7 linked regions of the Oryctolagus cuniculus genome follow. The protein of the gene in region 6 interacts with the protein of the main gene of each other region in a pairwise test. Links are inferred from orthologs where the notes say so. Each region holds a gene or a part of one and is shown on either strand. Other genes may lie near its edges.

Region 1 (3,500 bases), on a different chromosome or scaffold from region 6:
TGCTCAGCTGTTTCCTCACGCACGGTCATTGTAAAGGGACTGACCCCCAAAGCTTCCCTGGGTCACCGTGTTCCAGGTCTCCGGCCAGCACCCCCTTCCCCCGTGCAAGTGTGTTCCTCTCTACTGCACTCCGCTCCTCCGCCTTTGGGGTACATTCTCCCCCACCTTCCCAGGGGCTGGGCCAGGCCTTCAACTTCCCACCGAGAGCTGGTATGGCTTGGTGGCTCTAGCTGGAGTCAGGGCCCCTCAGTTAGGGAAGCTTAGGGAAACCCTGTCCCTTGTTCTTAAACAAGGACGAGAAATGTTTGCGAGTAGACCCTGGACACATCACTCATCTGGTCTTTGTTGTCAGGGTCTCTGGTAAGAAGAGTGAAAGCAAAGAAGCCAAGAAGACCGAAGAACCAAAAATCCGCAAGAAACCCGGGCCCAAGCCCGGCTGGAAGAAGCAGCTGCGCTCTGAGAGGTGAGGGGTCCTCAGCGGGGGCTGCCCTGCCTGTGGCAGCAGCGCCGCCACACGAGCTGTCCTTGCAGGGAGGAGCTGCCCACCATCTACAAGTGTCCTTACCAGGGCTGCACAGCCGTGTACCGAGGGGCTGACGGCATGAAGGTGAGGCGCGGGCACCCGGTGTTGGTGAGCCTGGGCTCCTGCTGAGCCAGGCGTGGCCTTGGGCCCAGGACTCGCGGGAGCCTGGGCTGAGGGAGGCGTGCGGCCTGGGACGGGGTGACTTAGAGCCAGCTCTTCACTCCGGAGGGGCTCGGCGGTGTGGAGCCGGTGCACCTGCATCTGCCCGCCTTCCAGGGTGCTCAGCCCTCGCCTGTGAGGACACTGGGGGGCCTGTGGGGCGTGGGGCTTCGGCCAGGGAGGCACTCGGGTCTCTCGCTGGCCCCTTTACAGAAGCACATTAAGGAACACCACGAGGAGGTCCGAGAGCGGCCCTGCCCCCACCCCGGCTGCAACAAAGTTTTCATGATCGACCGCTACCTGCAGCGCCACGTGAAGCTCATCCACACAGGTACCTGCTCCGATGCTGCCCTAGAAGCACCCGAGTGGGGGGGGGGCGCCTGGGGGGACTTGGGAGCCTTCCAGGAGTCTCAGGTGCCCACTCAGGTGGGGGCTGCAGTCTGAAAGACAAACCCACCAGTCCTGCCTGAGGTATGGTCTCTAGGTTCAAAGTCATGAAAACTGACAGCACAGGAAACTCTAGTGCACTTCTGGGAGTTGATCAGATACATTGTAGAACCCTTTTCAGATTAGAAAATAGCTCATGTTCATTATAGAAACTGAAAAATGAGAAACGCCTAAGATGGTGAAAGTTTATTTGGAAGGCAGAGTGTGAAAGACAGACCTTTGTTTCGTCTGCTGGTCACCAGGCTGGGCCTGGAACTCCACCTGTGGGCACAGGGACCCAGTACTTGAGCAGCAGCACCTGCTGTCTCCCAGGGTGGAGGCAGGAGGTGAGCCAGGCACGCCGACGTGGATGCAGGCGCCCACCGGAGCCCGCGTGACTTAGCTGTGTGGTTCCTGCATCGTAGACGTGCTGTGTGACACAGGCACTGCTGCTGTCCGTGCCGTCCGTGAGGCCAGCAGTCCTGGGCCGCGCTCCGGCCCGCTAACCGAGGGCCCACTGCAGCTATTCTGCCGCCCAGCCAACATGGAGTTGACAGCTGACCCCAGAGTCGTCTTCATCAGCTCTCACGCATCCCAGTGAACGGCTTTCCTGTTCTGCTCTGAGTGTTCTCACGCGGGTCTCCCGATGCAGTCGTGTTTTGGGCTATGTTCTTCCAGCCGTGCGTCTCAGTCCAGTTCCGGCGGTCACACCTGCTCTCTAGTGCCCGAGACACTGTAGATCCAGGTCTTGGAAGGAGTCTGGGGAGCTGCTGTAGGTATTGCACAGACGTGCGGGCGGCACACTGCGGTGGGGCGTGTGTGCCCCGCGTGGAACTGGCTTGTTTCCACAAGTTGATGGAGCCATTTATACGCCCCGTCCGCACTGGTTGGACAGGTCATCACAGCCTGTGCCCCCAGTTACAGACAGTCTCCCCTGCCCCTGTGCTGTCCACATCCATGTAACATGGAGACGTCTAGAGCTGGGATGCCTCCTCCGTGAAGCCTCTCCTGACTGCCTGTCTCTAGGCTTCGGAGCTCATGAAGGGGTCTTGAAACTGAGCTTGAGGGGGTGGCATTGTGCACCAGGTCAGGTTGTCACCGGGACAGCCACGTCCCACATCCGAGGGGCAGCTGGGCAGGAGTCCTGGCCGTTGTTTCCGATCCAGCCCCCGGTAATGTGCCTGGGACCCCCAGGATGGAGTTTGTGGTCTAGCCACAGCTGCTGGGGCTGTCTGGGTGAAGCAGATGGGAGGCCCCTCCCTCTGCCTGCCCAGTCACCAGGGGTGGGGACGGGCCGAGTCCCGCCTGTGCTGCCGCAGCACCTTGGGAGAGCGCGGGCGCCCGCATCAGACACCTGGGAGGAGATCCGGGCTGTTGCATTTTAACTGTTCAGACGTCTGGAATGTACAAGGGAAGGCTGGACATAGGCAGTATTTTCGAGCAGTTTGGAAGTCTGTTAGAACAGGCCCTCTCTCCGGGCTGCAGAGGCCCTTGCCTGGGCCCGGCTGCTCTCGGTCCTGGCGCCAGCCCCGGTCCTCCGCCCGCCTGTCTTGCAGAGGTGCGCAACTACATCTGTGACGAGTGCGGGCAGACCTTCAAGCAGCGCAAGCACCTCCTGGTACACCAGATGCGCCACTCGGGAGCCAAGCCCCTGCAGTGCGAGGTCTGTGGCTTCCAGTGCAGGCAGCGGGCGTCGCTCAAGTACCACATGACCAAACACAAGGCAGAGACTGAGCTGGACTTCGCCTGCGACCAGTGCGGCCGGCGCTTCGAGAAGGCCCACAACCTCAACGTGCACATGTCCATGGTACATCCTCTGACCCAGACCCAGGACAAGGCCCTGCCCCTGGAGGCAGAGCCACCACCCGGGCCACCACACCCCTCTGGGACCACGGAAGGCCAGGCCGTGAAGCCTGAGCCCACCTGAGGACCGACGTGGGCCGCAGGGCCTGTGAGCAGCCTGAAGGCAGCAGGGGTACGGGGGACTGCACACAGCACCCCAGGGTGCAGGACGCCCGCTCCCTGGGAACCCATGCTATCTATACCCCCCACCTCCGCTCCGCGTGTGGGCGTGGGGCCTGTGGGGCCTGTGGGGCTGTGGGGCTGTGCAGAGCTCTCGCAGCCCTTCTGCCCTCTGCTGTGGGCCAGTGGTTTGTTGTCATCCCACACTGTAGCGGCTTGGGCGCCAGACTATAAACCATTGCCCCTTTTCTCCACTAAAGCGATTCAGGAGATTTGTAATCCACTTCCCAGTGCGACACGTGCGACGCAAGCTCCGCCCTAGGCTGGGACAAACTATTCACAAGGTGCCGGGTCCAGTCAGAACAGCTGGGGCTCGCGGTAGAGGCTGGGGTCTGCCACGGTCAGCGGCTGCCTGCCCAGAAGGGCGGTG
Region 2 (3,500 bases), on a different chromosome or scaffold from region 6:
CAGCACCTCCCCTGCCTTCCTGCCAGGCGCAGGCCTGACCTCCTAGCCACCGCTCTCACTGCGTCTCCTCCTCCACGCGCATTCCAGCTTGCAGCCCTCCACAGGCGGTGCCCATTCCCTTCCTCCAAAAACCAAAGCCCTCATCCCCTGCTCCGCCAGTCTCTAAGGGACCGCTGCAGAGCTTGGGAGGGCTTGGACTGTCTGGTCCAAGAGGGCTCCATCTGGTCTCCCCCTTCAGACAGGGAGACCAGGCATGCTCCTCGCCTCCCTGGAGGCCCAGTGGAGCCCATGAAAGTGCCGGGTGAGGAAGTGACTGGGATGGGGTGGAGGAGGAGAGTCACGGCCCAGCTGGCCGGCTCTCGCCTTCAGAGGGAGATTCTAGCACTGGCTGGGAGAGGCGGGGCGGAGCGGGGGGGAAGAGAGCGAGTGAACGTGAGACAAGGCAGACCCCAGAGGGACTGATGGAAGACTGTTCCCGTGCACCAGGGGGTCGGGTCCTCCTCGCCTCCGCGCCTCTGGAGAAGGTGGCAGGCCACAGAAGTCGGTGTGGGGTAAGAGGTAGGGCCGATCGGCCCCACTGGGAGACGCTCTCAACGGCTCTGCTGGAGGTGGAGACAGAGCTACGGGGTTGGGGCCCCTGCCTCCAAAGTCGCCCTGCTGTCTGCAGAGGACAGGGGAGAAGAAGAGGGGACAAGCTGCAGGGGGCGGGGAGGACAGAGACCCGGACGCCGGCGTGGAGGCAGGGCTGGGGGATTAGGAGAGCTGGGACCCCAGGAGCCTCTCGATGGCCGCGTTGATGTCCCCTCCGGTGGCGATCAGCGCCTGCAGGTTGGCTTCCCGGTTGATGAAGCCCATGGAGTTGAGCTGCTCCAGTTGCTGCTGAAACCTCACCTCTGGCGTCTGTACCTGGAGGAGACAGGGCCTTGTGAAGGGGGCACAGGACCAGCCCCAAAGGGTCTTTAAGACCAGCAGGTCTCTAAGTCCTCTGAGTCAGCCAGGGGCGCGGGGTGGGGTGGGAGTGGAGGAGTCCAGGTCCCAAGGCAGCAGAACGGGAATAACAACGTGGGGAAGGGCCTTGACAGCTCACGGGGAAGCCGCCGCCTGTGACGCGGGCATCCCACACAGCGGGCCGGTGCTGAGTCCTGGCTGCTCTGCTGCCCATCTGGTTCCCTGCTAATGCTCCTGGGAAAGCAGTGGAGGACGGTCCGAGTACCTGGGCCCCAGCCATCCACATGGGAGACCCACATGGAGTTCCAGGCTCCTGGCTTCAGCCTGGCCCAACTCCGGCTGTTGTGGTCATTTAGAGAGCAAACCAGTGAGTGAGTGGAAGATCTCTTTCCCTCTCTGTCTCTCCCTGTCAGTCTGCCTTCCAAATAAATAAAATAAATCTTAGAAAAAAATTTTTTTTTCAAAGTTAACTGATAGGCCTGCACCAGCTCATTTTCCTAACTGTTCCCCATGGACACTCGGGAGATGTCAGCCGGCGTTCCCAAAGCCAAATGCTCTGGGCTCAAACAAGACGCATGCTAAAATAACCCTTCGGGGACGCGGCCATGGTCACGGTTGAGGCCGAGGAAAGTAAAAGCTGCTTCATTGTGTTTAGCTGATCAGTGAGCACAGGGACTTACATAAGGGAAGGTTTTCCATTTTTGACACACCGATGGGTACCTCCTGGAAATGTTTTTTGGAAGCACTCGCTTAGATCATGAACAAAAGACACCACGAGGGGCTGGTGTTGTGGCACAGGGGATTAAGCCACCACTTGCAATGCTGGCATCCCTCATGTGCCCTGGTTCAAGTCCCGGCTGCTCTGCTTCCGATCCAGCTCCCTGCTAATGAGCCGTGGAAAGCAGCAGAACATGGCCGAAGACCCTGGGCCCCTGCCACCCACGTGGAGGACCCGAATGGAGTTCAGTTCCTGGCTCCTGGCTTCAGCCTGGCCCAGTCCCGACTGTTGCAGCCATTTGGGGAGTGAACCAGCATGTGCGAGATCTCTCTCTATATAACTTTCAAATAAATAAATCAATCTTAAAAAAAAAAATAAAAAAGCCTCTGAGAGCCAGCAGGAGCAGTCACAGTCCACCGGGGTAGATAAGTCAGTTGTCACCTAGGGAGAGGAAGGACTCGCCCCGGTCACAGCGCTCAGCTGCCACGGCCCCCTGACTGCCGACAAAAGCCTCTGCCAGCCGCTGCACATGGCGTCTCACTGCTGTCCTCGGAACTCACCCGGGATCGGGCCTCGCCCTGCCTCCCACAGAGCCGGCTACACACAGATGAGACATGGAGGCCAGCGGAGAGCGGGGAGGCCCACCAAGGTCGTCACTCTTCCTCCTGGTACAAGCCCCTGGCCTCAAGTTTGTGGCTCAGGGCTCCCGCCAGCCCACCTCCCAGCAGCCTTCTCTGCAGTCTCAGAGGGGCAGGCTGCCTGAGTCCTCTGACAGCAGGAGCCGCGGTGACACGGTGGCCACGGTGTGGATTCCGGAGCTACAAGGCCTGGGTGTGTCTTGGCTCCCTGGCCTACTAGCTATGGAAATGAGCAAGACACGCAACCCCCGGGGCCTCTGTCCTCCGCACTGGCGAGCAGACAGTAACAGAAAAACAGCAGCCTCCCCCGGGTTGTCGTGAGGAAGATGACAGTGAGCCCCTGCTGTACCCACCTGTGGGAGGTGCTGTTCCCGTCCCCTCCCTCGGCCCGCCGTGGACACACAGAGGATCCATCCCCAGCCTGGGCTAGTATGCAGCAGAGCAGGACCTAACGGCAGGTCTGGCTGACCCCAAAGCTGCCCTGCTGCCCACCCCCACACCACTCAACGCCTGCACCAACCCCCACGGCCCCTGTGCACCTGTGAGTTTCCACTTCCTGCCAAGAGCTGGATCATCTGCTGCATGAGCTGCTGCTGGGCACTGGAAGCCCCCGTTGGAGAAGACGTGGCCGGCGGGGCAGGCGAGGAGGTGGGGGCCTCAGGCGCGGTCCCGGCGTTGCTGCCCGCGGCAGGTGCTGCCGTCCGGGACATCCCGAAGGAGCCAAGGCTGCAGGCAGGAGGGCCCAAGAATGGGAGGTGGCGTTCACGAGAGCCAGGAGGAAACGCAGGTGGAGGGGACAGCAAAGCAGAGCCTCGGGACACGGAGGCTGCGCGAGCGGCAGAGAGGGCGGCTGCAGGGGAGGAGGAGCCGGCCCCGCTGCTTGCCTGCCCCCTGCCTCACCTGGGTACCAGCCCGGGGGCCTCGGTCTGCAAGGTCTGCAGCCCCTGCTGGATCTGCAGCAAGGCCTGCATGGCGCGGGGGTTGGTGAGGATGGACAGCGACTCCGGGTTCTGCATCTGGTGGGACGCAAGCAGAGAAAGGCGAAGGAGAGGAGGTGGCAGCCTGAAGCCAAGCTCTGCCCCTACCTTCAGGCGCCACCCCTTGCCCTCCACCTCCACCCCTGCAGGCGCTCGCTCACCTGCTGCAGGAAGACGGGCAGCTGCAGGCGGAGCTGCTCCTGCAGCTGGGGGTTCCCC
Region 3 (4,185 bases), on a different chromosome or scaffold from region 6:
CTGTGAGCCCAACTGTAGGCTGAAGCCCTAAGGATTTTCATGGCAGAAAAGAAGGAAGGAAGGAGGGAGGGAGGGAGGGAGGGAGGGAGGGAGAAAGAAAGGGAAGGAGGGAGGGAAAGAAGAAAGAAAGGAAGACTCCAAGCTGATATCTCAGCACAATGACTATTTAAAGGAAACACTTTCTCCTGTTTTCCAAAATTTTAAATAAATAAATTGAAATAGTGCCTACCGCTTATTTGTGATATAATACCTCCAGGCTATACTGATATCCCAGCATGAATAATAGTACTTTAAATATCAATAAAGATATTGCAGGTATTAGTTTGCATCACTATATTTTAAGTATCTATTAAACACTTAAGACAGCATATAGAGTAAATGAGGTATTATATGTACATTCACAGTTAGACAAGCAGCTAATGACATTAGAGAAAGTTTTTTTTTTTTTTTTTGCAGTAATTACAGACATACAAGAAATTGCCAAGGTAATACACGGGGGTCCTATGTACATTCTGCCTGCTTCTCCCAATGGTTATAGCCTACATAATTATAGCATAATATCAAAACCAGGAAATTGACATCGGTGCACATAGTTCCATGACTTTCCATCGCCTGTGTAGATCTGTGTAACCACCACCACAAACAAGATATACATACTATATATATGTACTATACTATATATACATACTATATAATAACTATAGTTATTATGAAGATCTCTCTTATGCTGCCCTTTATAGATACACTCTTCTCACCCTGTGTCCAGGCCCACCAATGCCTGGTTTGTAAAATAATTATTTTGCATATATGTGTTAATATTTTTGCTAAAATATGAAAAGAAAAAAGTAAGACCACATGACTGGGTATTAGGAGATATCTGGTTCTAAGTTTGCCCCTGGCACTTATTCATGCTGTTGAACAAATCACTTGCTCCCTGCCACCCTCAGTAGTTCAGTGTAAAAATTAAGCTTCAAACCTACTTTTTTAGGGCACCTGCATTTAAGATATTACATTTATATATTTATATATATTTAATATTAAGATATTGAGTAAATATCTGATTATTTACTTTCAATTCTGATATCACTTAAAGACTGTTAACTGCAAATCTAGTTAGTAAAATATGGCTTAAGTGTAATGGAGATCATCTTGGATTGAACAGCGTCTTTAAATTTTGCATTAAATAATATTTTCAAATATTTTGCATTAAAATAATATTGTCAAACTAAGTAACCAAAAGCTGCACTACGATACTGTATTGCTGCTTTGAAATCTGAAGCAAATTAAAAAACACGATTTCGTGTGAATTCATCTTTTAAGGGGAGGGGTGCTGCTGTTCTCTCAAATGTACAAGCGTAAAAACTTGGCATAGAGAACCCTGGACTCCTCTGGCCCCCATCGCACCCTTCGAGGAGGAAGAAGCAAGGATCAAAGCTGAAGACTGTAGGCTGTGGGGTTCAAATCGGGCCCTTGTCTGAGAAGCGAGACTCAGAGGCTGCAGCTGCCCGTTGCTACCCAGCCCTGCGCCTGGAGTCAAGACCAGAGAGAAGCCGCTGCGAGAATCTCACAGTACAGTTTTCTGCTTTCCTTGTCAGGCGATACCTGTTCCACACCGGAGAAGATAAAACACCAGGAGAGCTGCTTTCCCTAGGTGAATTCTTCCATTTAAAGCTTTAAGAATCTCTTCCCACGCACCAATTTCAGCTGACAAATCTCTTCCGCTCTGCAATTCACTCCTATTTTAAGTTGAAACCTATTGATACCACCTACCATGAGGCTGTTTGGAGCTCATCTGCTGTGCCCTTCAACAATAACTCTACGAAAAATGGGCCCTTTCTCCACTTAACCCTTTTACTTACACACACACACACACACACACACACATTAGGGGATATCATCTTACACAGATCCACCAAAGCTTTTTGTAGACCGTCAATTCTTTGCTGATTCTTCCTAATCAAAATGCACCATTTCCAAGCCCACGGCCGAGGGCAACCAGTTCAGGGAGACCCAAAACCGACGGCCAATACCATGGCACGGCCAACCCAGCTTGTCGCCATGAGTCCAGCCTGGCCACTCAGTTCCAGCCACACTGCTGGAACGCGATGCCCTGGGCCTCCTTCCGCTGAGACCCCTGGACACCCCAGTTCCCGCGACCTCCCGTGAGTCCAGGAGCAGCACCCTGGATAGCTTCCTTGCTGGAAGGGGCGGTGCCGGGGTCCTAGCGCCCCATCTCCGCCGTCATTGGACCGAAGACGTACAGTCGCCCTCCTGTGCTCGCACGCGGACGCCCCTCTTACCCTTTCTCTGCCAGAAGGGCCGCATCGCGCCGTCCAGGTGGAGGCACCCACGTGCGCCCGGGAGGCCGGGGCCCGGCTAGGCCGCGCGCGGGCGCGGGCGCGGGCGGCACCCCGCGTAGCTGCTGGTTTTCGCTCAGGTTCGGGGAGTCGGAGCCGGGCCCGGCTCGCTCCGGCCGCGCCAGCCCGGCTTGGACACGTGGTGCCGCGGCTGCCGGTGCGCCTCTGTCCGCGCGGCTCCTTGGCCTCGGCAGGCAGCCGGGCTGCGGAGGCCGGGGCTGCAGACGAAGTGGGGAGAAGGGCGGGGGACCAAAGGGCCAGCACCGGGAGGTGGAGCGCAGCGCCCGGGGCGCTGTGAGGGCCGCGTGCCAGGGGCGCCAGGGTCGCGTTCCCGGGGATCGAGGCCTGAAGGCACGGTCCTTGTCGCCAGGGCCGGGGCAGAGAGCTCTGCAGGCTCCGTTTGCTGAAGCGCCGGGTGCGGGGTGGCGCACTGCAGAGGCTCCCGGTTCCCGCCGGTTGAGGGAGCCCCAGCTAAGGGCGGAAGGGTCTGTGTGCTCTCACGACCCAGTGCGCGTCCCTCGGGGCGGTGCGGGCTCGGGCGCCAGTCGCCCGCCCTCCTCGCGGGCTTCGCTCAGCCCACTTAACGAGGACACTGTTTCCGCGCTGCAGATGACAAGCACTGAAAACCGCAGCGCGCTGCTCAGACGTCCTTTTAGAACAGTTCCTCCCTAGGAAAATGTCTCCGGGGACCACATCCGATCTGGGGTCATCCTGTCTCGGCGAGGACACGGATCTACAGCCCCGATCGATTTCCAACTTCACCAAGGACCGTGGGCGCCAAATCTAAACAAGGTGTCTCTGAGTGACGTGAGCTTTGACCCAGAGATAACCTGGCGGGCGCTGTGGTATAATGGGTAAAGCCGTGGCCTGCAGTGCTGGCATCCCATATGGGTGCCGGTTCGAGATCCAGCTGCTCCACTTCCGATCCAGCTCTCTGCTATGGCCTGGGAGTAGCCGTAGAAGATGGCCCAAGTCCTTGGGCCCCTGCATCCACGTGGGAGACCTGGAAGAAGCTCCTGGCTTTCCACTGGCAGCTCCGGCCATTGTGGCCAATTGGAGAGTGAACCAGCTGATGGAAAACCTCTCTCTCTGCCTCTCCTTCTCTCTGTGTAACTCTTTCAAATAAAGAAAAAAAAAAGGGTAGTAGAGATTGGGCCAACAAAATACAACTGCTTATTAAACGTAATTTGTATTGATTATAGATAAGGCTGAAGAAAAGCTCAGGAAAATTATGTTGTGGTTTGTTAGTCCAAATGCAAAACAAATCATCAACCTCCTACTCTTGGGGGAAGGTAAATTTTGGAGGAGACTGGTGCAAAGATGCTTTCTTCCCTTAGAATTGCTAAAGTCCCAAGTAGCTCCATCAGGATCATTGATTTTTTTTTTTTTTCACTGAAGTGCTTCATGATGAAATTGGCTAAGGGTCAAAGAGCAGCCACCAGAGTTTGGCTAAACGTTCATCCAGGTAGTTTCTTGTTATGTTATTTGTGTACCCTTAATCTTCAATTTTCCCTCTGAAAAGGGCTGGTCCATACAGAGGACTGCTCCAGAGAGCAGCATCCTTGTCTTTACCCCTGTGCCTTCTCCTTTTCCTGCCTCCCCTTTTCACCATACTCAACTAATAGCAGACAGTGGTTTAAAGCTCAAGATACTTAACATTCACGGATATGTGAATTGCACTGTGAAGTGCAAGTTTCTACAACTGAGGCCCACCAATGCCATTTGCCTACATTGCTTGCCACATGTTAAATGCATTACACATTCTGCATTGTTTTCCCAGCCATTTTATCTGATCATTGCCTTTTTCTACTTGAGGTTCAGACACCAA
Region 4 (4,033 bases), on a different chromosome or scaffold from region 6:
TCTGCTATGGCCTGGGAAAGCAGTGGAGGATGGCCCAAGTCCTTGGGTCCCTGCACCCACGTGGGAGACCTGAAAGAAGCTCCTGGCTCCTGGCTTTGTATTGGCACAGCTCCAGCTCATTCAGCCAGCTAGGGAGTGAACCAGCAGATGGAAGAATCTCTCTCTCTCTCTCTCTCTCTCTCTCTGTAACTCTTTCAAGTAAATAAATATTTAAAACATAAATAAATAAATAATTATAAAAAATAAATAATTATAACTGTCTAGTGAATTTTCTCCTTAAAAACTTCTTTTATCATTTCTAAGAAACTAAGTGTTTTATTAATGCAACACAGCTTAGAAGTTGCTTAATAATTTGCAAGTTTTAAAATTCTTTCTTCCTGTTTTTGTTTTTTTGTTTTTGTTTTTTTTTTTTTTTTTTGACAGGCAGAATGGACAGTGAGAGAGAGAGACAGAGAGAGAAAGGTCTTCCTTTGCCGCTGGTTCACCCTCCAATGGCCGCCGCTGCAGCCGGCGCACCGCGCTGATCCTGGCAGGAGCCAGGAGCCAGGTGCTTTTTCCTGGTCTCCCATGGGGTGCAGGGCCCAAGCACCTGGGCCATCCTCCACTGCACTCCCTGGCCATAGCAGAGAGCTGGCCTGGAAGAGGGGCAACCGGGACAGAATCCGGCGCCCCAACCGGGACTAGAACCCGGTGTGCCGGCGCCGCAAGGTGGAGGATTAGCCTATTGAGCCACGGCGCCGGCTCTTTCTTCCTAACTACTATGTAATTCCTCAGAGCCCGAACCCTGTTTCATACCGCAGAGTTAAACGATGTACTTAACACATTGTAATAATTTGTTTTCCTATCAGTCTCCCCTCCTACAGTCTGCAATTCCAATGAAGAGATCAAGTTTTACCAATATTTGTATTTCAAACACAAAGTAAACCTCAGTAAATGTTTGTTGGATGGATAAGTGAATTAATAAATCTATTTTTTTCTGTGAAATGCCTCACATAGTACTCTATACATAGTAGAAATTCAGTTTAAAGCTTGTTGTTGGCTTTATGCAGAAATTTTTTTAATCCAACCGCTAAGCAAAGCTTTATCTTGCCTCAGAAAATCAACTCTACTTTAAAGCTTGGCTACTAACATTACAAATTAAAAGTTTTACTTTAACACATATCAAATAAATGAGTTCAATAACTAACCACATCTAAGCAAGCTAAAGAAGGATTTAAAAGCCATTATTCTAATTAATGAATTTGTGAACCTCACCATGGAAAAACCCAGTTACATAATCAAAAGAGGGGTTATCCCTTGCAAATTTACCTACAAATAAATGATAGAGAAACCAATGGTCAGAAAGCTTGAATTTATAAATGGAAATGAAAAAATTATTTTGTGCCTGACTTAAAGCCTTAGTTTCCACTAGAAATAAGAGTTAACCAGTAAAGTGTTCCAAACCCATCCCCAGAAAACAGTCTTTGAAGCTAAGAGACCACATGTTTTCCTCTTCCAATGATTTCAATTCCTGGGACTCATTTTATTTTCACAAAAAATTGACATTCAAAACTTGCTCTGTCTCCTAAAATAAAACCTCTGATTTCTTAAAAGGCAAATAACCCGAAAAGGCACACTTTGGGAAACCGAGGTTTTATATCCGAGTAACCAAAACTATTTCTCGTTTTAGGGTTGAGCCTGCTGCTGCAGTAGAAACACTTTTCTTGGTTTTTCAGTTACGTTGGTGGAGGATTTAAGTGTCATACTGCACATTATTTCACTACATTATCTAAACTGATTTTTACACTGCATACATAATTCCCTAAGTACACTGTAAAGGAGTTCCGCACTTGAATGAATCCGGGAAGAACCGCGATCTTAGCACACACCCCCTTCTTCCAATTCAGCACACTTTAGAGGAAGCACACCTTAGTGTTTTGGTTTGGTTTTTTCTTTTTTCCCCCTCAAGAATTGTTCTCCCGCCCCCACCCCCGCTTTATTTTACAGCAGCAATCATTCATGAGCCCACTCTCGGTATCTCTGCCCAAAGAACCTTCCCAACTAACACTAGTTCCCCGGGACTCTCCCCTCTGCCAGAGCGACCATAGGGGTATCTCTTTTGGAATGAGGGAAGGAAGGGAAGCGAGGAGGGTTCGGGACGCCACCATTCCCGCCACGCCATTGAGGATACAGGTCCTGGCGCGCAGCGGAACCTGGGGAGCTGCAAGGGTCTGATCCTCTCTCCTCCCCTCGAGCTCCCCAACCAGCGAAAAACAAACTGGGCCCAACCTCTGTGCTCCCATTCAGTCAACACATCCTCCTCCTCGCTGTACCCCGTTTCTTCCCACTTCTTCCCCAACGTAGCAGGGTCCTTTTATCTAGTTCCAAGTCCCAGGAAACCTCCTGCTCCCAACACATACACCCCTCCCCGATGCGGCCCCACTCCCCTCGAATCCCACTACACCCGGGTCCCTCCCCTGGACCTCTCAGAAGCTCCAGCCCTCCCCGCACGCCCCAGAGCAGACCGGCGCCCGGTCCCTTTACCTACGGGACCTGGGTCCTTCCCCGCACGTCACACTCCGGTCCACTCCCCAGCGACCCGACCTTCCCCACACCGTCCCCGGGAGCTCTCCGCCAGTACCCCGTTACCTCCGACCCCGCCCCCCTGAGGGTGTCGCACTCACCGCTCCCGCCGCCGCATCCTTAACCGCCGCGGCTGCTATAGCTACAGGGAGCCAAGGCAACCAGCTCTCGCGACACTTTCCTCAACTACAGCGAGAACAGCCGAGAAGAGACTCTCGCAAGAAAGTAAATGAGTCAGGCTGGAGACAGCTAAGTATATCTCGCGATAGTACTGTTTAAAATGGCGGCTGCAAGGCGTTTCGGGGGTGGCTTGAAGGGTTTGGAGGTGGGGCGCGGGCGAGGGCGAAGCTTGAATGACCGAAAGTCGTAGAACTAGTGTAGCTGGGACAGTATGTCCAGGCTGAGGAAAGTGAATATGGCAGGCCCTACTCTGGGATAACTTTGGGGATACAGCTTTCTTAAACTGCCGCAAACGTAGCCTCCTGTAGCTGAAATTTGTTTTCTCGGCGTTTTCTTAACGCATGTAGAGGAGTTTGAGAGGGAGCGGGCAGGCCAGAAATTGACCTTCCCATCTCATTAACTGTCTTCAAAAAGTTTTCATGTGTTCTTTCTCCACCGTGGTCTGTAGAAGGCTTCTCAGAAATGTTGCTCCGTGAGTGCCCCGCCCTAATAGATCGCCGGACCAAAATAGGAAATGTGTTACCCTAGCACCCCTTCCCTCCAATCGAACGTTGGCACAGGTGTGTCGCATCCTGTCGCCTGGGACGCGGAGGGAAACCGCACTGCTGTGTGATCTGACCTTTGCGATTGTTGCTTGCCATCCTGTGGACACATCGTTCCTTCAACTGACTCAACACTCAGTAGAAGAGCCATCTCTGTAAATGCAGACTAACTGAGCAGCATCTGAACCGGAAGATGCATGAAAAGAACTTTGGGTAATAAGGAAAAGGAACAAATGGGGCAGAAATTAATAAATAGAGAATTCATTTTCATTTGTTGAAGTCCCTAAATAACTTTAATAGGGTGGTTTAGACTAGTATCGTCGGTGGAAACATGTTGTGACCCTCATACAATTTAAAAGCTATAGTCACCACATTTTTAACAGATTTTTAGTAGTTTTTTTTTCATCCAACATGTTCAACATATCACTTCAACATGTAATCAGTTTTGTTACTAATAATAACTTTTTTTAAATACTGAATTTTCAAAAATGTGGTACTTTTTTATTCATGTGGCACATCTCAGTTCAGACTGTTAAGTTTCAAGAGTCCAATAGTCAGTCACCTGTGGCTAGTGACTACCATACTGAACATCACAGACTAGGACTCTAATAAATGATCAATCTCAGTGACTTTGGATAATGGTATTATGGGTGTGCAGTTTATATAAAAGAAACCCTTGAAGTTGCTAACTCAAATGCCACAGAAGCTACTCAAGTAATACTGAAAGATGATCTGTTGTAAAACAACAT
Region 5 (4,033 bases), on a different chromosome or scaffold from region 6:
ATTTGCAGCATTAATTTTCCTGAAACCAGTAATTTTAGGGCTTGCGGGTCAGCTTAAGACGGTGGTAAGCAGAAACAATTTCTCCACTTCCTGGAAGCAAAGCTGCTTGTTTCAGATAGAATATAGTAGAAAGAGCATCATGTTGATTCCAGTCTGAAGATTTTAAGAAGACGGGCATCTCCTATTTCTCTTTAGGACACACCTACCATCCCATGAAGAGCCACACGGAAGGGCCCATGTGGAGAAAAACTAGGATTTGTGGCTAATAAGGTAATCCTTAAAATTAGTTTATATAATTGCATGCTTCAAGTTGTCTTCCTGATAATTTTTAATGAGTTAAAACTGATCATTAGATCATCATTATTATTACTTAGTCATGTGACTGAAGAAAAAGTTGGGATAAAGTGGCAACTATGACATTTTCACGTTGTTTTGCATTTTTTTAAATATTTATTTATTTACTTTAAAGACAAAGTGACACAGAGAGAGAGAGAGAAAGATAGAGAAGGAAAGAGATCTTCCATCCACTGGTTACCTTCCCAAATGGTCTCAATGGCTGGGGCTGTGCCAGACAGAAGCCAGGAGCCTAGAACTCCGACTGAATTTTGTATGAAAGTAGCAGGGACCCAAGAATTTGGACCATATTCTGCTGCTTTCCCAGGAACGTCAGCAGGGAGGTGCATGGGAAGTGGGGCAGCCAGAACTGGAACAAGTGTGATACGGGATGCTGGAGTCACAGGCTGAGGCATCACCCAATGTGCCACAATGCCAGCTTTTGAATTGTCATTTTCAGTCCTTAGTTTTCTTCTCAGAACTTTTCAAACTGCTTGTCCATTTGTGAGGATTACTTCAGTTAAAATCAAATAATCTTGGAGAATTCTGCACATATAAGCTGTAATAAGTCATAATAGACTGAAACAGGTGAGAAGTTAAACAGCCATCAGGACACCATCAGCGTTCTTTTTTACCTATTTTTCTAATTTTTTGCATTTTTGGACAGTGAGAGAGAGAGACAAAGTTATAGACAGTGAGAGAGAAACAGAGAGAAAGGTCTTCCTTCCATTGGTTCACTCCCCTAATGGCCGTTAGGGCCGGCACTGCACCGATCCAAAGCCAGGAGCCGGGTGCTTCCTCCTGGTTTCCCATGAGGGTGCAGGGCCCAAGCACTTGGGCCATCCTCCACTGCCTTCCCTTTCCGGGCCACAGCAGAGAGCTGAACTGGAAGAGGAGCAACTGGGACTAGTACCCGACGCGCCAACCAGCTCTAGAATCCCCGGGTGCCGGCGCCGCAGGCGGAGGATTAGTGAAGTGAGCCATGGCGCCCGCCAATGCTTTGCATATCTGAGTAACACTTTCATTCTAAGTAATGAGTACAAAGGAAAATATTATATAATTCTCTTAGTGTTCCTTACCATCACCAATACTCTTTAAATGTTTTGGCTTCCCCTTCCATAGTAGTATACCCCCATATTTTATGTTGAAATATAAGGTCTTCATTGTAAGTTTAGATGCAAAGGATGCAATGCCTAACATATTATGATTATTGAAATACACAAATAAAGCTTTACATTACTCCTTGGAAAGTATTTTTTTTATCTACACACTATAATGATCTGATATCTGCTACTATGAATTTTAGAAAGACATGAAAAGATTCTTTCACAACATTTACAAACTTGAATTTTCTTTTCACTTTTTAAATTTATTTTTTAATTCTATTTCTTCCATGAACAGTTCAATCTGTGTGATTTATTTGCGGGAGAAATTGTGGAAGAGTGAGAGCGAGAGGAGATGGAGGGAGAGCGAGCGAGCGAGCGGGAGAAAGCGTTCCCATCTACTGATTCACTTCCCAAATGCCTGCAACATCTAGAACTGGGTCAGCGGAAGCCTGAAGTCTAGAACTCAACCCAGGTCCCCCAGTGGGCGGAAGGGACCCAAGCACTGTTAATGTCAACTCCTATATTAAAATCAGTAAAGCACAATTCTTTTCTTTTTAGAAGAAACAGAAAAAAATAGAAAATACATTATCTTTAACCCACACCTCACTTTTAAGATCAAATACTGAAAGTTTGGATTCCAGGATACGATTCCAACTTCTAAGTCTCAAAGGTGATGTTTTTCTCTAGAAAAACAGATTTCCCTTGGTGTAGGAGTAAAGGAGACATTTAGAGTGCATCTTAACTGTATTCACAGGCAACTTAAGGAACAAGAAGTCCCGGAAACATTCACAAACAGGATCTCTTGCAAAACGCTGAGGTGGGGGTGGGACCACAAAAGATTACTGGAAGAAGAAAAGGGTGCGTAGCTCTTCAGTTTCAGGGAAGAAATTTCTAAAAACAAATCACACGCTCGATTCCACAAGGACGCCTCTCGGAGCACCAAGGGCTCGATGTCTGTCCGCGGGCTCGGCCCGGAGGGCGAGTTCCATCACCGCGCAGAGTCCCGGCACCGCCGAGTACCAGACGCGGTAGAAGGGAGCAGGGGCCGAGGGCGGACTTGGCAGGTGGGCACCGCCCGCAGGGGCACCCCGTCCCGCGAGGGCGGAGACGGAGGCTTAGTGGCCAGGACTCACCCCTCCTCCGTATCCTGGGTAGGCCATGACGAGCCGAGCAACCTTCAGCCCTCCTGTCAGCGTCCGCCCTCCTGAAAGAAAGGTACAGGTGCAGATACAGGTGCAGGCGCAGGTGACTCAGAGCAGCACCGGCCGCGCGGTTCACTCCTTCCAGGCCCGCCCCTCCCGGCGTTCAGCCCCGTCCTGCCCGGTTCCGATTGGCCACGTCCCGCCTTTCGGAACTCACACTTGATGGAGCCCGCCCCTTCCCGGAGGCTAATCCCACCCTCCTAATCCCTGATTGGCTACATCCCGCCCGTCCAGCACAGCCCACCTTTGCTCTGCTCCTATTGATTCGCTCGAGTTCTTGCCCTCTCCTCTTAATCCCCAAACAGCCTTTTCCACCCTGTAACCCTGCAAGCCCTCTGGGAATGTTGTCCAAGCCATAGGCTCCTGAAGTGTCTTTTCTCTTTACAAACCCAGAATCAGTTCGTGGATGAAATCTTTTAATCTATTTCCGAGCGTTTTTTTTCCCGGCTTTTTTGAGCTAAACTTTAAATATACATCTGTGAATCTCAAAACGTGTCAAGTAACTTGCGATTACTTTTGGGTAGTGTTAATGTGATATCAACACTTTGAAACCATGATCATACTTGTACACCAAGGACAGTTGCTTCTTCACTAAAACCCACTTAATGCCTAGGTTTAAGAAAAGATTATCTGTAGTCTGAGGTCAATTTGGTTTTCAAATGATTTTTTAGAATAAATACATCTCTGATATTTTACAGCACCTAAACTTACAATGAAAAATTATTTCCTATTTTTGTGCTGCTAATATACAGGGTATCTTGTGTATTAGTTGGTGACTACTGGTAACAACCTTTGATAGAACTCTTAAGACACATGTCCTAATTATATCTAAGAGACGGACAGCTTTATGTCTATCATCTGGGGAAAAGTAAAATGCACAATTACTTTGTTTTACCAAGTAATGGAAATGGGCAAGTCTTCTTTTTCTCTAGAACTCAAATTTTGTAGCTCTGGTTTTAAAAGGACAGGACAATGTAGCTTCAGCTTAAAAACAATAAAAAGATCAGGACACCGCTTAAAATAATCTCTGAAGAATAACACAAGGGTTAACATGTTTCACTAAAATATACTGCAAGGAAGTGTTAACTACTGGAAGAGGAAATCAAGCTTACAGAGCTATGTAACTATTTCCCCACTACAAAACAGAAGAGGAATATGTTGGGCCTTGTGAAAGACTCAGGAAGAGGCAGAGGAAAGGAGGGTTGCTAATGTACAAGCCACTCTTGAGAAAGTGTTAGTTCCTCTAACACAGTTAGAAATATGTTAGCCCAAAAGAGTTAAGTGATTGACTTTAATAACTAAATGGAGAGAGGGTAGCAAAACTAAACTTGGTAGGAGGATCTCCTTGAATATGAGTGACTAACTGAGGCAGCAAATAATAAGGTATTGGAA
Region 6 (3,500 bases):
GCAGTAGTGACGAAGGTGTGAGGGGGCACTGTAGCAAACTGGGGCGACGAGGTGACGATGGCAGAGGCTGCGCCCGACGCCTCCATGTCGGTGCTGCCGACCGGGATGAGCAGGGGCTGGGTGCCGGGGATCACCAGGTGCTGCGGCAGGCTGCCGGCGTAGGTGATTGCTTGCTGCTGGCCGCTCAGGTAGCCGATAACTGGGGGCTGCGTCCCTGCGTAGAAGGCCGTGGCGGGCAGTCCGACCGGGAGGGGCTCTGAAGCACTGGGCGTGGTCTGAATGACCGTGTGGGGTGATAGGGCGTAGGAGCGGTGGCCTGGCCTCCCCAGGTGCAGGTTGCCTTTGTCGTTGAGGGTGGAGGGCGAAGCCTCGCGGTGCGTGGCCTGCTGCACTTCCAGGTCTGTGGCGGGCGTGCTGCTGTTGGGCAGAGCCATCACAGAGGCCCGCACCCCTGGGGCATCTCGGCTGCTGTAGTCCGCGGGGCTGGGGTGGACCACCACGTGCCTGGACTCGTAGGGGTGAGCGACCGCCTTGCCCCCGGCTTTGCCCAGGCCCAGGTCGGCCGAGGACGGAACCCCGTACCGCCGGCTCTTCTCCATCTCCCCGTTGAGGACCTCCTTGGACTGGATGGACGGCTGCAGCCTGCCGCCCTCGGCCTTCTTGGTGGACTCCCGAGGGACAAAGTGGCTGCCGGAGTCCGTGTATTGCACGACGACCTGGGAGGAGGGCCCCAGGGTGAGCGTGTGTGGGATCATCGTCGGATGGGGGTGGAGGTGGACGGGGATGGGCGGAGGAGAGGCCGGGCGCCCGGTGCTCTGCGGAGAACTGGAAATGTGGACGTACTGGTTCTGCTGGGTGGGCGGCGGGGACCCCGGGGTGACGAGCCCCGGTGCCCTGCCCAGGTGCTGCTGATGCTCAACCTTGTGTCCCGGGGGGGCCTGGCTCAGCCCTCCCATGTTGGACAGCAGAGTGGAGTAGGCCTCCAGCTGGGAGCGCTGGGATGGGGCGGTGGCGCCCGCCGCGGAGGCCACCACACTGGTGACGGAGTTGGCTGTGGGGGAGATCAGCTGTGACGGGATGAAGCCGGCGTAAGGGCCGCTGTACTGGGAGGAGCTGATGAACTGGAAGGTGTGTGGCAGGTGAGCGTACTGCACGGGGGACACGGGCGTCCCTGACTGCGGGGGAGGGTACGCCGCGGGCAGCGTGGTGGCCGCTGGGACCGACCTGGGAGCACTGGGTGGGGAGTAGTCCAGCCCAGTGGACAATGCTTTGTGTAAACCTATTCCCTGCTGTAAACCGAGCTCCACCGAGGTCCCTGCCGGCCCGTGCCTCCCGCCCCCGTGGCCTCGGCCGCCAGGGTTGCCAGGGAGCCAGGCCACGGCCTCCGCCCTGTGGTTGTCACTGGGCGGCGCCGCAGCCTTCTCCTCGGACGGCCGGCTGGTGGCCGGGATCTCGCGTTTCTTGGGAGGCAGGCATTCATTGCTCCGCTCCTGCGTGGATTTCATCTTTCGCCGCCCTCCCTCCACGGTGACTGCTTCACTGGCTGGCTGGCTCGGATTTTAGTCTGATAAACGGAAAGTCACATTTGATTTCTGTAGGGGATCCAGGTTCTTCATGAGGAATCATCTCCCCGTGGGTGCACTCGGCCAGCGGCAGCTCTGGATTCTGGGCAGAGGACGAGGGAAGAGTGAGAAGGGTGGGGGAGAGGAGGAGGGGAGGAAGGAAGAAAAGGACATCAAAATATCAGCACTGGGACAAAACATTCTCAGCAAGATTAAGATTAAGCCTCGGGATTCAATATGAATTCCAAAAACCCAATTATGGCCCTCGCATTACAGGGAATGGGAGGGGGGACATGAGCAAGGGGTAGCCTCACGGCACAAACTCTGGCATGGAGTCAGCTCTCCTGCGACACTCTCAGTACCCTCTCTCTCCTCCTCTCGGGGTTTTCCCCCTTCTTCTTAGAAGGTAGATGATGCGTTTCTCAAATTTCCCTTCCAGAAACGTCAGCTCCGGGCCTCACCTCTTCTTCCCTTGGCTGGAAGCCCACAAGGGAGAATGACATCAGGGAGACTCTGCTGGACCCTGCCCTCAAGAGCCAGGCTCCAGGGAGGAGCGGCTTGCACAGGGCCGTCCCGCGCAGTCCCTGGGTGTTACGTCCCAGAGCCACAATCCTGGAGGGTTCTACCTGGCTCTCGGTCCACACTGGACTCAGCAGTAATTCCCTCTTGCCTAACACACACAGACACACACACACACACACACACACACACACCACAACTCAAGAGAGGCAGCCCAGAATAATTCTGCTCTCGAGAAGTTTTTAAAAATGCCCAGTATAGCCACTCAGATGCCAACAGAACGCCAAAAGAAATCTGTGAGACGGTTACAAAGCACTTTTGATTGCAGTTTAAAAAGCCAAGAACAATAACAAGCCTGACGCGTTCCAAGTTTCCTGAGGGTTACACGCCTGCTTTGTCCCTGTCTCCTGCCTGCTTCCCTTCTAAGCTGTCTCTGTATTTTCTCTGCACATCATCTCCTTTCTCCCTGCAAAAGGCCAACTCGCCGCCGATGCTAAAGACGGCACTTCTTGTAGAAGAATCACACCTGGGTGTGCAAACCTGGGCACACGGTGGAGCCCATACCGCTGGGACATTTGCCTCAGGTTCTCAGTGGCCTCTGAGCTCTAAGTCATCCCAATGGTAGGTGACCCGGTGCCCACCCGGCACGAGACGGAATGTTAGCAGAGCCAACACGGGACCACTGAACATGCCACAGAAGTGAGCGTTCCCCCCGCCCCAGCAGCACAGTGCTGCCCTGTGTGGTAATACTGGGAGCTCTGGGATAGGATCGGAGACCTCAGGCCCCTGGTTCTGGCAGTTCTCTCACTCTGACCCTCTTTTCTATGATCTGATTTTAAAACAAACACAAACATGCAGCATCCGTCAGCATTCAACCCCGGTCTACGCTGACGCAATGGTGAGATCCCTGCTGCCACACCCCCTTCTCCGCCTCTGCTACCCCTTCTTGCACCACCAAAACCAAGTACCTCCTATAAGGCTTACACTGCCTCTTCCTAATCGGTGACATTTTGGGGGCAGTCAATGATTGACTGACTCTTTTTCATTTTGCTTCACCGTCATCAATGGGTATCACCAAGAAATGATACAACAAATGACAAGTGACACAACAGATGACAAATGACATGACAGAGGATTCCCCAGCCTTAATGAATCTGACCATGCATGAAGGAAGATGAGGGCTAAAAATTGTGTGTCTCAGGCCTGGTGCTGTGGTGCAGTGGGTTAAGCTGGTGCCTGAAGTAATGGCATCCCATATGGGCGCTGGTTTGAGTCCTGGCTGCTCCACGTCCAATCCAGTCCCTGCTAATGTACCTGGGAAAGCAGTGGAAGATGGCCCAGATGCTTGGGCCCTTGTACCCATGTGGGTGACCCAGACAAGCTCCTGACTCCTGGCTTTGGTCTGGCCCAGTTGGAGCC
Region 7 (4,294 bases), about 15 Mb from region 6:
CGCAGGGACCGGAGGGGGGCCCGCGGGGGAGGGGCGGGAGCCGGGGTCGCGCCGCCGCCGGGGGGACGGGCGCGGGCGGGGGCCGGGGCGCGCGGTCGGTCGGGGGGCGGTTGGTCCGGGAAGGGGGGCGGGGCCGGGCGGGGCCGTAGTTTCTCTTTACCGTCTCTCTACTTTCGGAAGCAGGATGTGGGCCGGCCCGGTGACGTCATGGGGTCTCCCAGCCCCGCCCCTCGCCCGGGCCGACTGGGGGAGGGGGAGGCCCGGGAGATGGGGAGGCGGGGGGGGGGGGACCCCAAGGGGGTTTCCTCAGCAACGCGTGGAGGGTTGGGGAAAATCATTGTGAAACTCGAAACTCATTAACTTTGAAAAACAACTTTAAGAGGAAAAAAAACACACAGAGCGGGAGGGGGCGGGGAGCCGGTGTAGAGGGTGGAAAGGCGGCGTGCGCTTAACCCTGAACCGAAACCGCGCCGGGGTGGCGGATGTTCTATTAAAAGAGAGAGGAAAGCCAAGGTTATTCCACAGGCCGCTCCCGGGCCCGCGGGTGCTTCCCGGGGCCGGCGCTGCGAGCGCGATTAACCCCTCCCGGCCCGTGCGGGCTGGGGGCGCGGACCTTGGGGGCCGGAAAGCCGCGCGCGCAGCTCCAGGGAGGGCAGCGAGGAGCCCTTCCGAGGAACCAGCGCTGGGGACCCCGGCTGCTGGAGCGCCGTGGGGGACCTCTGCGAGAGGCGGCTAGCGAAGCCGGTTTTCGGGGTTCAGACCCAAAGAATGCTAGGAGTCTGGGGCTCAGAGACCCCATGCTACACCCAAAGAAGCAGGCAAAAGTGGCTTAGCCAGCCGCCCTGAACTTAGCAGCAATGGTGGTAAAGCAGAAAACTGGATGCTTAAAAAAAAAAAAGTAATAACCAAACTGTTTTCCCCTTTTAAGGAATTAAAAAACGCTGACGGCCATACAGCCACTAAAACAGCCGGGCCATCTGCGCGCCCCTGGGCTTCCACAAAGGTGTCTAGGTTCCTTCCTGCAGAGGCTGACCAGGGAAATCCTAAGGAAAGCTCGGAGCGCCGGAGTGGGGGTGATTAAAAATGGAATACTCAGTAATGGGCGATCTTGTAGCCACAAAGAATGTTACGGAAAAGGAGAAATGTGCTTGCTAAAAAAAGTAGACTTGCTGGTAGGAGCGAGGATCGTCCACATGAGTCCGTTTTCAATGACCTCTAGATGCTCTGAGCCTACAGTGAAATATGCAGTTTTAATTTTCCATGCGATAGCAGACGAGGGCAACTTCCCACCTGGGCGGTTTGAATCCAAAAACAACCATGCTCTCAAATGAGAAAGTGCAGCCTGGCAGTCGGGGTGGAGAATCCGGATAGAGAGGCGAGCTGGTAATCTGGGAGGTTAAAAACGCAAACCGATCCAGCCTTGCCCAGCACCACACAGATATCCAGCGTCAGCACCGTGTTTATTAGAGACTGAGCACTGCCCTGAACTTCTTAGCAACCCACACGTACAACTTCGAATTATCAGAGGTTAATTTCGCCTTCTCAATTCGTTCTCCTGGGCAGCAAGCCGACGTTCAAGTTGGCTTTGCAATGCACACACACCACTGAACAGCCTCCTAGGACGTCTTCTAATTTTCTAAATGCAATTTATTTTCTTAATTCTACAACTCTCCATCCGTAAGTATCAGGAAAGAAAAACTGCCCAGCTAGGTTATAAAGTAGCTTGCATGGACTTCCTGGCAAAGCAGTGGAGCCTCCCAAAACAAGCGGAATGTGGAGAAGACGTCATTGGAACCGCAGTGGACAAGTGAATGGGCGACTGCCGTCCGAACTGTCAAAACCCGGGGAACAAATGCAGGTGGCCAGGGACCGCTCGGGGCTCCCAAAGCTCCACCCCTACCCGCCCCCGCTGGGGTGAGGGGACTGCGGAGGGCAGTCGGTGGGCAGCACGTCCGCGCCCGCCCCGCGGCCTGGGTTCCCACGCGGCGGCCGGCCCGGGCTCCTCTCGGGCTCCCCCCTGGCGCGGCCCCGCGGCCCCGGCCCTCCGCCCAGCGCGCGGCCCCGAGCGCCCGCCCGCCGCCGCCGCCGCCGCCGCCACGCGGAGATCCCGGAGGTTCCTCCCCGCCGGCCGCCGCCGGGTCACGCCGCCCGGCCCTCCCCTCGGCCCTGCGCCCTGCAGCCGGGGCGCGCGCTGGGCTTCCCCGTCCGGCGGCCGAGTCCCCTCCCCTCCTCTCCCTCCTCCCCTTCTCCTCCTCTCCCTCCTCCTTTCTCCTCCTCTCCCTCCTCCCCTCTCCTCCCCTCCTCCTTCTCTCCCTGCTCCTCTCTTCTCCTCTCCCTCCTCCTCCTCTCCCTGCTTCCTCCTCCTCTCCCTCCTCCTCTCTTCTCCTCTCCCTCCTCCTCTCCCTGCTTCCTCCTCCTCCCCTCCTCCCCTCCTCCCCTCCTCCTCCCCCTCCTCTCCTCCTCCCCTCCTCCTCCTCCCCTCCTGCTCCTCCCCCTCCTCCCCTCTTCCTCCTTCCCCCCTGCTCCTCCCCTCCCTCCTCCCCCCCCCTCCCCTGGGCGACCTGGCGACAGAAACCATCCCCACACGCGCTGCCCGCTCTGCCCCCCGCCACGCCCGGGCTCCTGCCAAGCTCGGCGCCAGACAAAAGAACAGGGACCAGAACTTACCCACAACGGCCACAGCCAAAGTCTTTCCTCCGAGGCTTCAACTTTTAATTTTTTAAAAACAACAAAAGCAGACACCCGAAGCCTCCCCTCGGCTGGAAGTGGGCGTGAGAGGAAGCGCTCGGGGGAGGCGCCTCGCCCGCCAGCTCGCCGGCCCCGGCCCCCGCTCGCTCGCCGGCCCGGGCCCGGGGCTTTGATCTTATCGCGCGCACCGCCTACGCGGGTTTCTACCTGGGGCTCGGCTCCGGGAGCCGAGCGCGCAGCCCGCCCGCGCCCCGCGCGCGGAGAGCAGGTGGCCCGAGGCGCGAGCCCCTGCCGCCGCGGGGACCCGGCCGCATCCGCCCGGCTCGCCTTTGTTACCTGCGCTGCAAGTGGACTCTCCGCCCAGCTCCTGGCCCTGAGGAGCGGGCCCCTGTGCCATGTGTTAGGACTGAAAAATGAGCTTAAAGTCATCTTCCCCAACCTCCGCCCCGCCTCACTCACACCACAAACTTAGAATATGGTGGTGGTGCCTGCTTCCGAGGGCTTTGTTCGGCTTTCAGATCTCGGTGTTGAAAGTGAGCGTTAGTCCCGTCTCAGAGCAGCCTAGAAGAAGGGACGAGTGAGCTGCACACCGACACGCTGAGACCCCCAGGTGGGTTAGAATGAGTCGCACACCCTCCCTCTAACAGTGTGGAGACCTTGGGACTGTGGGTTTGATCCTGTTTGGACCTTAATAGAAACTGGTTGTATTTTTGCGCTGGGTTAGCAGTCTGAGGACCAACACTGACAAATTGCTAACAAAGGCTGCTTAAAAAAATAAATATTAAAAAAAGCAGGTTAGTAGCCAAGAGGGATGGCCCTGTCTTCAGTTCAGCTGTACCCGTCTATCCAGTTGATGCCAACACCAGCCTGGGTTCAGGCCTTGCCCTCTGGGAGTTTACAAATTAATAGAGACAGGATTAACACATGGAAAAATACCTAGAGGGGGGGAAAAGATACAAGAAGCAGCTTATAAACAGAGCCAATTAAAGTTATACAGGGTTATTTACATGGTTGCTGAAAGGGTTCTTGGGTGGAGGGCAGGATTATCAGAGGAAGTTCCCTCCTGAGGCTGAGTTCCCAGTAGGATTTGGGAGGAGAGAAAGTTCGGGTTTTGGCAATGATCTGAGGACAGCATTCCTGGGGCAGAGCTGGAAGGTCAGAGCAAGGGAACTGCGGGTGATGGGTTTACTGCCTAGAGCAGAAAGTCCAAGTGAAACAAGTGACGCTCAAACCACGGTGCTTCTGAGAGTGAAAAGGAAGCTACGGAAAAGCTATGCAGAAACCGGAGATGTCCTTGTACACCTGGGCTGGCCCAGGCTGACAGGGACGGTGGGCTGTCCGGCCAGGAGCCACGAAGGCACAACAGGCAGCCACAGACAACCAGAGAAGAGCCCCCAGTCCCCCATCATTTGGAAGGCATGAAGGCATCCTGGTGCAAACAGTTGGTAGGCATTTGGAGACATCTGGACTGAGAATGGTCTTTTTAAGGAAAGTCATTGTCGCTCATGAATTCAGATAGCTGTGGGAGCTGGCTCCAAAGCCGTAGTAGAGTTGTGTTAGCAGTAACGGTGACAGTGGCAACGGGCGGTGATTAGCGCTTACCCAG

The links.
Region 1: the proteins of ATXN1 (region 6) and ZNF276 interact in binary tests that used the Homo sapiens proteins (3 or more experiments, as listed by UniProt). The link is inferred for Oryctolagus cuniculus from reciprocal best matches to the Homo sapiens genes ATXN1 and ZNF276.
Region 2: the proteins of ATXN1 (region 6) and UBQLN4 interact in binary tests that used the Homo sapiens proteins (3 or more experiments, as listed by UniProt). The link is inferred for Oryctolagus cuniculus from reciprocal best matches to the Homo sapiens genes ATXN1 and UBQLN4.
Region 3: the proteins of ATXN1 (region 6) and SYBU interact in binary tests that used the Homo sapiens proteins (3 or more experiments, as listed by UniProt). The link is inferred for Oryctolagus cuniculus from reciprocal best matches to the Homo sapiens genes ATXN1 and SYBU.
Region 4: the proteins of ATXN1 (region 6) and USP54 interact in binary tests that used the Homo sapiens proteins (3 or more experiments, as listed by UniProt). The link is inferred for Oryctolagus cuniculus from reciprocal best matches to the Homo sapiens genes ATXN1 and USP54.
Region 5: the proteins of ATXN1 (region 6) and GCA interact in binary tests that used the Homo sapiens proteins (3 or more experiments, as listed by UniProt). The link is inferred for Oryctolagus cuniculus from reciprocal best matches to the Homo sapiens genes ATXN1 and GCA.
Region 7: the proteins of ATXN1 (region 6) and HIVEP1 interact in binary tests that used the Homo sapiens proteins (3 or more experiments, as listed by UniProt). The link is inferred for Oryctolagus cuniculus from reciprocal best matches to the Homo sapiens genes ATXN1 and HIVEP1.

Annotation. Positions count from the first base shown.
Region 1 is NC_091449.1:69,341,124-69,344,623, forward strand, and holds part of ZNF276 (zinc finger protein 276), read left to right. Parts: intron 1-352; coding exon 353-463; intron 464-531; coding exon 532-607; intron 608-895; coding exon 896-1,013; intron 1,014-1,300; exon of another isoform or gene 1,301-2,664; coding exon 2,665-3,035; 3' UTR 3,036-3,407; coding exon of another isoform or gene 3,408-3,500. UniProt on the Homo sapiens protein: May be involved in transcriptional regulation.
Region 2 is NC_091438.1:42,651,368-42,654,867, reverse strand, and holds part of UBQLN4 (ubiquilin-4), read right to left. Parts: coding exon 3,443-3,500; intron 3,321-3,442; coding exon 3,205-3,320; intron 3,031-3,204; coding exon 2,844-3,030; intron 907-2,843; coding exon 754-906; 3' UTR 1-753. UniProt on the Homo sapiens protein: Regulator of protein degradation that mediates the proteasomal targeting of misfolded, mislocalized or accumulated proteins.
Region 3 is NC_091437.1:135,118,794-135,122,978, forward strand, and holds the start of SYBU (syntabulin), read right to left. Parts: upstream 2,801-4,185; 5' UTR 2,326-2,800; coding exon of another isoform or gene 2,301-2,325; intron 1-2,300. UniProt on the Homo sapiens protein: Part of a kinesin motor-adapter complex that is critical for the anterograde axonal transport of active zone components and contributes to activity-dependent presynaptic assembly during neuronal development.
Region 4 is NC_091446.1:64,751,690-64,755,722, forward strand, and holds the start of USP54 (ubiquitin carboxyl-terminal hydrolase 54), read right to left. Parts: upstream 2,801-4,033; 5' UTR 2,664-2,800; exon of another isoform or gene 2,655-2,663; intron 2,629-2,654; exon of another isoform or gene 2,524-2,628; intron 1-2,523.
Region 5 is NC_091434.1:79,323,349-79,327,381, forward strand, and holds the start of GCA (grancalcin), read right to left. Parts: upstream 2,801-4,033; 5' UTR 2,600-2,800; coding exon 2,573-2,599; intron 1-2,572. UniProt on the Homo sapiens protein: Calcium-binding protein that may play a role in the adhesion of neutrophils to fibronectin. May play a role in the formation of focal adhesions.
Region 6 is NC_091436.1:143,623,897-143,627,396, forward strand, and holds part of ATXN1 (ataxin-1), read right to left. Parts: intron 1,666-3,500; 5' UTR 1,506-1,665; coding exon 1-1,505. UniProt on the Homo sapiens protein: Chromatin-binding factor that repress Notch signaling in the absence of Notch intracellular domain by acting as a CBF1 corepressor. Binds to the HEY promoter and might assist, along with NCOR2, RBPJ-mediated repression. Binds RNA in vitro.
Region 7 is NC_091436.1:158,574,841-158,579,134, forward strand, and holds the start of HIVEP1 (zinc finger protein 40), read right to left. Parts: upstream 2,801-4,294; 5' UTR 2,668-2,800; intron 250-2,667; exon of another isoform or gene 161-249; intron 139-160; exon of another isoform or gene 1-138.